3 linked regions of the Tribolium castaneum genome follow. The protein of the gene in region 2 purifies or fractionates together with the protein of the main gene of each other region. This does not show direct contact. Links are inferred from orthologs where the notes say so. Each region holds a gene or a part of one and is shown on either strand. Other genes may lie near its edges. The genes, in order: dual specificity tyrosine-phosphorylation-regulated kinase 2, hyd and polo.

Evidence for each region.
Region 1: the proteins of hyd (region 2) and dual specificity tyrosine-phosphorylation-regulated kinase 2 purify together in Homo sapiens (affinity purification with western blotting; 3 studies listed by BioGRID and IntAct, with this or other methods). This does not show direct contact. The link is inferred for Tribolium castaneum from reciprocal best matches to the Homo sapiens genes UBR5 and DYRK2.
Region 3: the proteins of hyd (region 2) and polo purify together in Homo sapiens (affinity purification with mass spectrometry; 4 studies listed by BioGRID and IntAct, with this or other methods). This does not show direct contact. The link is inferred for Tribolium castaneum from reciprocal best matches to the Homo sapiens genes UBR5 and PLK1.

The regions. Positions count from the first base shown.
Region 1 is NC_087403.1:4,166,293-4,170,709, reverse strand, and holds the start of dual specificity tyrosine-phosphorylation-regulated kinase 2, read left to right. Parts: upstream 1-1,498; 5' UTR 1,499-1,940; coding exon 1,941-2,840; intron 2,841-4,417. UniProt on the Homo sapiens protein: Serine/threonine-protein kinase involved in the regulation of the mitotic cell cycle, cell proliferation, apoptosis, organization of the cytoskeleton and neurite outgrowth. Functions in part via its role in ubiquitin-dependent proteasomal protein degradation.
Region 2 is NC_087398.1:9,885,086-9,888,544, reverse strand, and holds part of hyd (E3 ubiquitin-protein ligase hyd), read left to right. Parts: coding exon 1-831; intron 832-1,092; coding exon 1,093-1,228; intron 1,229-1,348; coding exon 1,349-1,593; intron 1,594-1,644; coding exon 1,645-1,757; intron 1,758-1,811; coding exon 1,812-3,197; intron 3,198-3,221; exon of another isoform or gene 3,222-3,350; intron 3,351-3,459. UniProt on the Homo sapiens protein: E3 ubiquitin-protein ligase involved in different protein quality control pathways in the cytoplasm and nucleus. Mainly acts as a ubiquitin chain elongator that extends pre-ubiquitinated substrates.
Region 3 is NC_087398.1:11,007,978-11,012,121, reverse strand, and holds the start of polo (serine/threonine-protein kinase polo), read left to right. Parts: upstream 1-1,314; 5' UTR 1,315-1,449; coding exon 1,450-1,542; intron 1,543-1,595; coding exon 1,596-1,820; intron 1,821-4,144. UniProt on the Homo sapiens protein: Serine/threonine-protein kinase that performs several important functions throughout M phase of the cell cycle, including the regulation of centrosome maturation and spindle assembly, the removal of cohesins from chromosome arms, the inactivation of anaphase-promoting complex/cyclosome (APC/C) inhibitors, and the regulation of mitotic exit and cytokinesis.

The sequences.
Region 1 (4,417 bases), on a different chromosome or scaffold from region 2:
GTGAGTGAGAGGCTTGATACGACATCTGTAGTTTGTCCATCAAAACTACACAACTAAAGGCCGCTTCACAAAACAATTAATTAATGTGACGTAAGTAGCAACTTAATTCGAATTAATTTATTCTTGAATTATAAGTTTTAATCCGCTTTTTTTAAATATTTGCATTCATATTTTAATTCGCGTAACAATTTAATTTGAGTTAATTTAGCATTAATAAATCGATGAAAGTCCATTTTGGATATTGCATCTTAGTTGGAGAATTGTTCGGCCCCCACTGCGTGCATTCGTGTCTCTTGAGAAATTAGCTACGCCAAAACCATTAGAAGATTTTGTAATAAAATAACCAACAGTTGAGTTGAAGCTCAACTAGAATTCGCTTTCTGGTTGGGAAACAAAAATTTGAACCCATTTATTGCGTTTACTTTTATTGTAAAGTAAATTATTTGCGAATGAAAACAATAAAATGTCGGTTCATGTATCATTGCACTTGTAACGAAATTGATTTGTCGATCGAGACGTCTTAATTGATTCGCCAAGCAATCACATTGCTGAAAAACTGGTTCTGCGGCGATGTGTGAATGCAATTGCAGGGCCTGGGCCAACCCACTCGCATCTCCCAAACCACTTCCCTGATAGTGGGGACATTTCACCGAATACTCCACCAAACAAAGCGGTCAAAGCGTCAAAAGACGCACTCTTTTCGTCTTTGTGACACTCATAAATAATAATAATAATAAATAATAAGATTATGTATTGCTGTAAAGAGCACTTTTGGCACAATTATAAGACAAAATATTGTTTTATATCCGATTTTGATATTGTTTTTGATTAAGTGGATATTGTATTGCTGGTTATACCTGCCTGTCTATACTTTGTAATACGATTACCTTTTGTTCTGAAAGTTTTGTGTAATTCAATCGGCTTCACAGTTGTTGATGCAGTTCTATATTTCTTTGTTGTAGAAAAATGAAATCGTAAAATGTATGATGTGATTTTCTACGTTCCAATGTCGGCCAATACACAATAGAAAATAGTTATTGAAAAAAAGTTAGTTTCCAGTGCAGACATGCAATTAGTCACGTTGTCTCATCATCGCTTCCTGGTAGTGAAAGTTAATAACATCTGATAAGAACTCGCAGATTATCATCCACACGATAAGCTTTGGTGGTTTGAAATGTAGTAGCAAAGCAAATCATTTACCACCTGCCTACTCACGAAATTATCTTTTAATTTGTTTTAAATGTTTAGGTACAGTTAAGTTTCGAGCTTTGAAAATACAAATATTATGAGAAATTTTTGGTTTTTGTTTTCTCTGTATGAAATTATGATTTTTATGTGAAAGCACTACAAGTGTGGCATTGTGTAGTGATTTCGATTATATTGACGTAATTACGCCGGCTGGCATAACTTTTGAGAAGTCAATGACCCTTAATTGTTGAGTCAAGGACGAACTGGCGTGAATATATTTTTCGGAAGGGTTTTGTGAGGGGTGGAAGTGAATAAAGTGGTGAAAAAACGTAAAAGTGTTTGTTTTCTGTTTATTGTGTGCAAATGATTGATAATAAGCGGAGTAAAAAAATATTTGTTTGAAATTTCGAAAATGGGCGGCTCTAACTGGCTGGGATAGACCAATGGTGTCCGGGTAAATTTGAGTCGAGGAGGGTCGAAGACGGCCGAGAGGTTTTGTGCAGGCAAGCAGCGCCACCAGTTGGAGCACTAGCACTAGATCGGAAATATGGCTGTAAAATAACCAAAATCCCTTTGTTATAGTTAAAATGTTTTTGTATTAAAGTGGAGGCCAAACGCGTGTCGCTGGTGGTTGGCGGCTCAGGATGTGGAAAAGGGTCCAGTGCGAGTAAGTCCGTGTATTAGTTAGTGGTGCGTGCTAGTGATGGTTGGCCATCAACCTCTGGGCTTGGGGAAAATGAAACGCGCTAGAGATGTCTAGCGCTGCAGTGGCCAACTCGTTGAAGATGCCGATGTCCCGCACCCAGCTGTTCTCCTCGCACTCGTACCTGGCCGAGGGGGGCGGCCTGCCCCCGCTGAAGCCGGCGGCGAAGGAGCAGAGCCCGCCCGCCGCCGCCGCCCCCGGCGGGCTGCCCGAGCTGCAGGTGGTGGGCTCGTGCGCGCTGCAGTGCATGCAGCCGCACATGCTGCGCCCCAAGGGCTCCCCCGGGCCCCCCGACAAGCACAAGACCATGGTGGCCACCCCCGACCAGGTGATGAAGCTCTACATGAACAAGCTGACGCCCTACGAGCACCACGAGATCTTCAACTTCTCCCAGATCTACTTCATCGGGGCCAACGCCAAGAAGCGGCCCGGGATCATCGGAAACCCCAACAACTGCGAGTACGACAACGACCAGGGCTCCTACCTGCACATTCCCCACGACCACGTCGCCTACCGCTACGAGGTGCTCAAGGTGATCGGGAAGGGCTCCTTCGGCCAGGTGGTGAAGGCCTACGACCACAAGAACCACATGCATGTGGCCCTCAAGATGGTCCGCAACGAGAAGCGCTTCCACAGGCAGGCTCAGGAGGAGGTGCGCATCCTGGAGCATCTCCGGAAGCAAGATAAAGACAACACGATGAATATCATACATATGTTGGATTCGTTCACGTTTCGTAACCACATGTGCATCACTTTCGAACTTTTGTCCATCAATCTCTATGAACTTATCAAGAAAAACAAGTTTCAGGGCTTTAGTCTACAGCTAGTACGCAAATTTAGTCATTCGCTACTACAATGCCTTGATGCGCTTAACAAAAACAAAATTATACACTGCGATATGAAACCGGAAAATGTTCTGCTGAAACAACAAGGAAGAAGTGGACTCAAGGTTAGTACAACCATGCTACACCCCCCAAATTCACAACAATGCCAAAAACTCACATCCACGTGTGGGTGGAACACATGCATTTCAAAAACTACAAAACAAACCTAACAGTTTTAGTTTTTTATTTTTATTCATATTGTGGGGTTGAAACTGGGCTAGAAATGAAATTGTACATTTATCAATTTTTTATCGAAATTTAATTCGGATTTAATGGACAACAAAGACTAACTTTACATATCGCACATCCGGAAGAGAGGCAAAACTAATTAATTATTAAAAATTTCAAATAAATTTGCCGGCTCATGGCTGCAATATAACTATATCTTTCGGTTTTATATTACGAAAGATAATTATTTAATGTTTGACATTTTTGCACGTGCGAATGTTCTTCCGCAGGTGCGATTAATTATCGCAAAAATATTCGCATAGTTATGTGAAGATTTGCAAAATTGGCAATAACACTTTTTCCTCTGATAACATTTACCATCAGAGATTAGGTAAGTATTTAAAATGTGCACACTCACGGGGAAATTCGTAATCTAAATCTTCGTCACAGAAATGTAGGAAACTGAGGAAATTGAATAAACATACAGGGTTGTTCTAATAATAATAATAATAATAATAATAATAACTCTACACGTAGTAAAAAAAACACGTCAACAGATACATTAAAATGACAACCGAAGTGGTACTTAAAATCTACAAATTTTGGAAATTTTTTTGAAAACACACGATACAAAGTATTAATCTATGAGTTCTGTTCGTTATAACCGGGTCCCACTGTAATAGTTTTGGGAACTGCAGTTGTCGGAGGATAATTGCCAGTAGTTTGGAACATTTATTGATGCTCAAAAACTGATCGAGTGCAGATATGGGAAAGCATTGCTATTCTATAATAAATAAATGGGAAGTGTGGTAAAAAATAAATCACTCTTGATTTTGTCTGAGCCAAATAAAGCGTAACTCAACATTATCCGTAACTACAATCTAGCAATTGAAAGACTATAACTAGTTATTAACAATAAGTCTGACTTCCTGTTTGGTCCAGGTATTTATTATCCTGTATATGCTTCACATAGACTGGTCACGATATTTGATGCATCGTTGCTTTTTCATTATAGTTGTAGAAATGGTGGTTTTTTGTCACTGAATACAATAGTGAAAACAAAGAAAAACATGTTCTTACTGAGACAAAATTAAAATTAAACGCCAGAGGAACTGTGCTACAATAAATTTAAACTCGGCGACACTAATCTAAACTTAGCTTTCTAAACAAAACAATGATTTCTTGTTTTGGTTAATTGATCAGATTAGAACGTGATGAATACCCCGATTGTTTTGAATATAAGGCAAACCGCAAGTTTAATACAATTTTATCGTATTCAGTTACCGAGTGCAATATTCGCCAATATCGATCGGTTTTGACAAGAGCACTTTCTACGAATTGATTGTATCTCAGCGAAAGATTGTCACTCTTGACAGCCATAAATTTGGACTTTATTATTTTAGAAACTGCACTTAACCATGAACAATGTGTCTTAAGTTCAACATACCTAACTATGAAGCACTTAAGTGGAAAG
Region 2 (3,459 bases):
AATTCTCCTTGTGTTTCCTTGTCAAATGCCAAATGGTAATCGACGTACTTCTCGAAACCTTGATCAGAGAAATGAAAAATCCAGATGCGAAACAAGCCCAATACGCCACAATGGTTTCGCGGCGATTCGTCCGCTCAGTTGTGCGTATTTTTGTCGTTTTTTCCATCGAAATGGCACCGAACTCGACGAAACGACGCAGTTTAAGCAACCAAAACCAACCGTTGACTAAATGTCGCAAAATATTCCAAGCTTTGAGCAAACTATCGATTGAGGAGCTGTGTGAGAGCGCTGACGCTATTATGGCACCGGTTCGATTGGGCGTAGCACGACCAACTGCCCCCTTTTCACTTGCAACATCCGTAAATGACGTTCTAAACGGATCGGAAGAATTATTCCTAGTTGATCCTTTAGCACCGTCGAGTTCACGACCTTCTGGGTCTTCAACAATGCCGCGGTTTCCGTTTTTGGCCGAAGCTGTGCGAAGAGCGGCCGCTAATGCACGCGATCTGGCAAACGCTCGCGATTTATTGAATTTGAATGATGGTGAAAGTATGGCGATTGATAATGACGATGATAATGCGTCCGAACATGAGGATGTTCCCGCTGATCGTGAATTGCCAATTACTGTTAGACAGTCGTCGACTAATGAAAATGAAACGGTCGAAGCTGCTCCGTACCAACAGGAAAGTCGAATCCAAGGCGAGGAAAGCGATCCCGAATTGGATCTGTTGGCGGAGACGGAGTCGGATAGTGATGATAATCATAGTAATCAGGATGCTGCATCTGCACAGAGGTCGGTACAGACGGGAGCAACGGCCGGATCTGATACCGGTAAGTCAATTTGATTGGTGGAGAGAAAGGGAGAGAGTGAGGAGCTAGCTCATACCTATATTAATCTATACTGCAAAAAAAAGACATAATTTAAAAAAACAATGTTTCAAACATCGCATTATCTTAATAACGTATTGCATTCAGCAATTTATTTCTTGTGTGCCGACGATACACACAGGGTCTAAGGCAGTATATTTTAATATAGGCGTGTGAGAGCGGGTGGTTGGTTGCATGTGTATGCAATTCTGTGTAACTTATCAGGAGGTATGCTGCTGTTCCCGGAAGACGAAAGCGGCGAGTCAAGCCAACAGGAAGAGGAAGAGAGCGAAGCGGGCGAAACTGACGAACAGGACACTGAAGATTATACGTTGACGGATGAACAGTTGGAGCGAAGAAGGTAAATTTGACAATTTTTCTTAGCATTTTTCTTCAAGTAATTTATTTTATTATGATTATTGGCTCTTGATTTAGTGATGTTTTTTGTGTTTCTCATTACTCTGATTATTGTCTATGAAAGAAGCCGTTACAGCAATACGACCGGTCATGGACAGAGGAGCAATTTGGCCCCGCAGAATATGCAATGGGCAATACGGTCACGTGAAGCAAGCAGATCGGCTGGTGTTCGATTGGCCAACGGTTCTAATTTAGTTTTTATTGATCCCAGTACGTTAAGACGATCTACGACTGGAAGTACGGCGGTCGCTGCAAGCTCGGAACCGGTGGCCATGTCCACATCGGCCAGTTCCTTAGCTAGGGCCTTCGGTAAGTACAGCTTTTACGTACTTGTATTTTTTAACTTACTAATCATTACAGGCGCAATTATTCGCCAAATCACGGACTTGTTATCCTCACTGCCTGACCTGAATCAAGCCTTGTCGACTGTTGCACACATGGAAGTGTCACAAGATGATATCTACAACATACAAGTGAGTTTTTAGTAATTTTTCTAACTGGACACATGACTGGTTGTTGCTTCGTAGATTTATCTAGAATTCCGCCTGAAGCCGACCTGGGATTGGCTTTTGACAGTGATGGACGCCACTGAAGCCCAACTGAAATTCGGTGCATCTCTAACCAATTCTCTCGATCTTTCGAGTCCAGGTCATCCGCTCAATACCGGAATTACGACCGGAGTCTCGGCAAATAATTCAAGCAATCTTCGATCGAGTGGTCACCGGGGTCATACCATTTCCAGTAGTTCTGGTACACGATTGGTCGGTTTTACCACAAACGTGGAAAGTCGAACTCGACCTGAACGCGATGGTGTGGACGCTCACGCGGCCCGGAGAGAATTTCTCTCCTATTGTTTGTCATTAATGAGAGCTCACAACAACGAACATTTGGATTCGTTACCGATTTTGGACGTTTCGGCTTTGAAACACGTTGCTTATGTTTTCGATGCTCTGATTTATTTTATGAGGTCGGGATCATCTGACCGCAATGATACTGACTTGCGACGTGATGGTTTTTCGCTTCCGTTGTGGAACGATCAAGACGAGAACGAGAACGAAGAAGCTGAGGAAGACATAGCCGTGGCAATGGAAACTGAAAGTTTGGAAGACCAAGATGTTTCTAATCTTGCGACGATTTCGAGTACTTTAAATTCGTCGAGTTTGCAAGGAGGGTCGGGAAAAGGTCGCAAACATTCGTTTTTCCAACGATCGGAATCCACTTTGTGTCTAGGTTGTCCTCCACCAGATCCTTTTGAAACGCCAATGGCTGAAGCACTACCACTGGCCGACCAACCTCATCTCCTACAACCCAATGCAAGAAGGGAAGATTTGTTTGGGATTCCGAAACAACCAATCACTTTGGCCTCCACTGGAACCATTTCAAACAATCCTCTCGAATCACTTCCTACGAAATTGAGTCTTTCGACTCGAACTACCGATTTTGCGATGAGTCAACCGGCAAAAGCCAACCACCCAATTTCCCAATCGTTAAACGTTATGGGCCCTAACCCCTTGATTTACCCCCAAAATTACAACCCAGAAACAGAAACAAACGCTCGAGAAGTGCACGTCCAGACTGAAACCTACTCCAACGAACCGTCAACATCCGATGAAACCAAAAACAAGAACTTGCAAACTTTTGAGAGTCTCCTCGCCGCTGTTAAGAATGAAATTGGCGAAAATAGCAAAGAAAACACTCCGCATGACTTATCCTCGCGACATAATCAAGAAGTACCGACATCGAGGCCGCAGATTATCGTCTCGCCGAGAAAAATTTCCGAAGTTTCGAGTCAGGAGCAACAAGAAGGTTTGAATGGTTCGAGCGAAGCCACACAGGATTATAGTAGTGGATCGACGACTCCATCCTCCAGAAGTCCAAGCAAGAGTGTGATAGTTCGAGCGGGATCGTCAATGGTAAGTTGTAGAAAAAATATCGCGTGGACCTACGATACGTACGCTCAAGCTTAACATAACGGGCGTATCACACTCAGGTCCTAGAACGAATTGCTCTCTGATGACTTTGGTTTGTCGAGCTTTGAACCAAGGACAGATACGGGGCATACATTTCTGTAAAATAATACAAGGCGTCTAACACCCAAAAATATTAAAATATATTTGGAACTTCCGATTTTTTTAAATATGACGTGATAAATGTGTTACGTTCATACTGAATGTG
Region 3 (4,144 bases), about 1.1 Mb from region 2:
GTTTTTCAAATCCAAATTCAATGAATTCATTTTGTTTTAACGGAAAGGAAAACAAAATTTTGAACAGAATTTATCGTTTATTCAATGAAATGTTTCTTTGTCAAACTGCGCAAAAATATCTGTGGCTAGCAATGTCAAAAAAATTAACATAACTTGAAAATTATCACAAATAAGCATAAGAAATGCCAACACAGATCGTTGCAGAATTAAATTTTCTTCTATTTAGTGAAATAAAAACTTATAGCATGTAGAAGCTGTCCAAAAATAACGTTAAGATTTTGGATTTTGTAAACTTTTTTGAACACACTGAAGGAAAGATTTAGGCTTTGTTTTTGATTGGCCAAATACTGTTTCTAAAATTCTAAAAATAGCAGAATTTACGATTATTGAAGTGAAAGGTGCAAATCCAAAAATTTCCAAAAAATTCTGATTATTTAGAAAATAGCTAAATTTAGGAATAGGAAAAAGCTAATAAAAAAGTTCATAGCGATTTTCGATACAATCGGAAGTGCCGCCATTTTGAAAATATTTTCAATCAATGAGCTATGGCTCTAGGCTAATTTTCAGATAAATGTTATTATCAAAACTTTCAGTACTTTTTTCAATACTCCGAAACTTAGTTTAGACAGAACACTTTGTATTCGTCAAACATTTTCTCGTTTATTATTAAACTCTAATAAAAATAAGTCAAAATAAATTTCCCGTGTGCCTTTTTTTTTCCTCGAAAACCAAGTGCAGTAATAATAATTGCCAGATTTATTTTTTTGTGAAAAAACAGTGTTCTCATAAATCATACACATTCGATGTTGCATAACAGATGACGCTTTGCAGTTTTGACTTCCCCAAAAATAAAAATACGTACATGTTTATGGTGTTTTTGAAAAAGTGTAGACAACGCAAAGTTAAAATTTTATATTTTATAAATTTTTATAAAACGTATAAAATTTGTCTAGGAAGAACAAGAATTTTAGGAGTAGGCCTTCGCCCTGCCTGAATGCGCGGCCTACAGTCCTGTATAAATTTCTGTTTAGTTTTTTTTTAATATTAATTGTTAGGTTGTTAGCTAGGCAACGCCCTCAGCAGAAGCATTTTGTGAGTTGCATAACACATAAATCAATGTTTTGATAGACTAAATTTAAAATACGGTCAAGATCAGCGTTTGGCCCAATTTTTGATCGACCAAACCAAAGTTGTTGAGTCAATATAAACCACTTTGTGTATTTTATTGTGGTCTATTTTTGTTTGGTGGTTAGAGATCGCGTTCTGCAAGTAGTCACTTCCGTTGACAATTCTTTTTTCCCCACCATTTTCCTGTCCAATCAGCCAATCAGCTGCCGGCGTTTGAAATCTTCTCAACTGCCAAAAGTTTTTCAAGCCGTGGTGGATGCTTGCCGTAAAAACCCAACCAAACGCAATAACTGTGAATAAAACTAGGAGTAATTAGTGAAAATGTCGAAAGTGGACGATTATGTCGTAGTTCCCGACTATATATACGACGAGAACACGAAAATTAGGTACAAAAAGGGGCAGTTCTTCGGCAAGGTTAGTGTTGTTTTTGTCGATGGGTTCATGTGATAGTGGCCGTTTTTTCTTAGGGCGGATTTGCAAAATGCTACGAAATTACGAATGTGGCCAACAGCCAAACGTTCGCCGGGAAAGTCGTCTCGAAAAAGCTGATAGTCAAGGAAAACCAGAAGGAGAAAATGACTCAGGAGATACAGATACACAAGTCGTTGAAACACAAAAATATTGTCGGTTTTTATAGTTTTTTCGAGGATACGGACAATATTTATATAGTTTTGGAGCTGTGCAGAAAGCGGGTGAGTTTTTGGCCCTTTAAACTGCGTCTGTTTCCTGGTTGTTATCGCTGCTCACTCTGTATTATGGGAAACTATAATATTGATAGTTTTATCACCAAAACTAATATTTAAACTGATGTCTGTCATGGCCAATGGTTGCACAAACAAAGAGCTAAATTAATTGGTAAATTAAACAACAGTCCACCTCTTTAAGACACTGTAGTTTGTATAATTAATTATTCATGTTGGTATCACTTGTGGCGCTTATACTTGGGTTTCTAAGTTAGGGAGGTAGTTCTAACTACAGTTTCCAGGTTTATTAATTTCAAAACCTCTTTTGACTCAAGTCGTAATGGAAAAGATTGTAGCAAAAAAATTATATTAAAATACCATTTTTATTGTACATAAATAAGAAGGGTAAATTATGAATGGGGGCTATGATGGGGGCTCGTAGATGACTTTGGTACCTTAGGCCCTAGTTGGTATTCCTTAAAACCTTTGATAAATTTACAAGTAAACAAAGTGCTTGCCAAAGTTTTTTGGAAAATATTTCAGAAAGCAAACACAGTTATTGATAAAATTGTGTTACTCTTATCTTTTGAGCTTCCTAGCTGAAAAATCATGAAATTAAAGCGAAATTTATTTAATTTAGCTTATTTTATTCGATTTTGCTCGTTTTTTTCCAAGCCAGTAAACACGTGTTTGAACTTACATTCTTAGTTTCTTGTAAAAATCACTAAATTTACTGAAACATTTTTTTTCCTTTTCCATTTACAGCCAATAAAGGAATTATCCCTGAAAATTGTGTACACGAGATAAAAACTAAGTTTTTTTTTTAGAAAAATTTACGCGAAAATGTGATTATTTCAACCAGAGATTCATTTATTGCACAAGAACTTTTTACAACAATAAATCTTAATCAAAAGTAATGTTATTTCTGCCTGTTTTTGAGCATTTAAGCATGTTTTAGAGCTAAAACCTGTTTTTTGAGACCGAAAAATTACCAGTTTGAATCCAAAATTATTTCGTTTTTTTTTTTTTCACCAGCAACGCAAATTTTTCGCGAAATCTCTTAAAAACAAGTCGAAAAGTCACCCAAAACATATACTAAAATGGGTGTTATTTTAGTGTTCTTCGACTTTCATTGAGTTAAAAATTAAGTTTTTTTCAAAAAATATACCTAAAAGTGGATGAAAATTCACCGAATATATCGAAATTTTTATTTTATATTTTTTAGTTCGAGGCTGATTTATTTGGAATTGATGTCAGTTTTTTTCGATTTATCACGTTTTTGGGCGAAATTTCATCAATAGTAAGCTTAAAAGATAAAAGTTTGGTCGCAAAGTGTGTTATTTTTATATTTTCTAAGCAAGTGTTTGGAGTTTCTTATGAATTTTCTAAATTTAGCTGAGTAAAATATTCTTTTTTCTTTTCCAAATGGTATTTTGTAATGAACAAACCGAAATTTCACCAAGTCACACTGAAAATTGTGTGAATTCTGAGTTTTTCGAATATTTAAACATGTTTTGAGATATTAACTAAATTTTTTTTAGAAAAATTTTGCTAAAGGTAGGTAAAAATTAGAATATTTTAACCAGAGATTCAATTATTAATTAATACTCAAAAATTTTTTACAACAATAAATTCTGATCAAAAATAACGTTATTTCTGCCTTTCTTGAGTATTTAGACATGTTTTAGGGCTAAAATCTCTATTTTTTTTGCTAGAAGTGACCGAAAATTAAAAATTTAAATCTAAAATTATTTCGTTTTGTCTTTTTTTAGCACGTTTAAAAAAACAGACCGAAAAGTCACCTAATTTTACTAAAATGGGTGTTACTTTAGTATTCTTCAACTCTTGAGTTTTTTTTTTTTTTCGAAAAATTTACCGAGAAATGGATGAAACATCTCCGAATTAGATCAAAATTGAAGTTGTCTTATATTTTTCTAAGTTCAGACTGATTTACTTTGCTAGAACTTGTTAAAAGACTCGTAAAAATCACAAAATAAATAGACATTGAGTTTTTTTCGATTTATCGCGTTTTTTAGCAAAATTTTGTTATAATAGGCCGATAAACCACAGCATTTAGTCGAAAAGCATGTTGTGTTTGCGAGTGGTTGACACCAGTGGCGTATCCACAGGGGTTCCGTGGAACCCGGGCCCGGAGCCTAAAAGGGCCCGCAAGCTTCAAGAGCTCTTCGATTCAAATTTTAATGAAAAAAATTGTTTCTAAATTTATCCCAGGCAATAGGCGATTGTTGTAAAGTATAGTCTGCAATTGTAAAGCGATACGGTCTAAATAATACTACGAATTCATAAAAATGTCTACGTTAGTCGAAGCATTA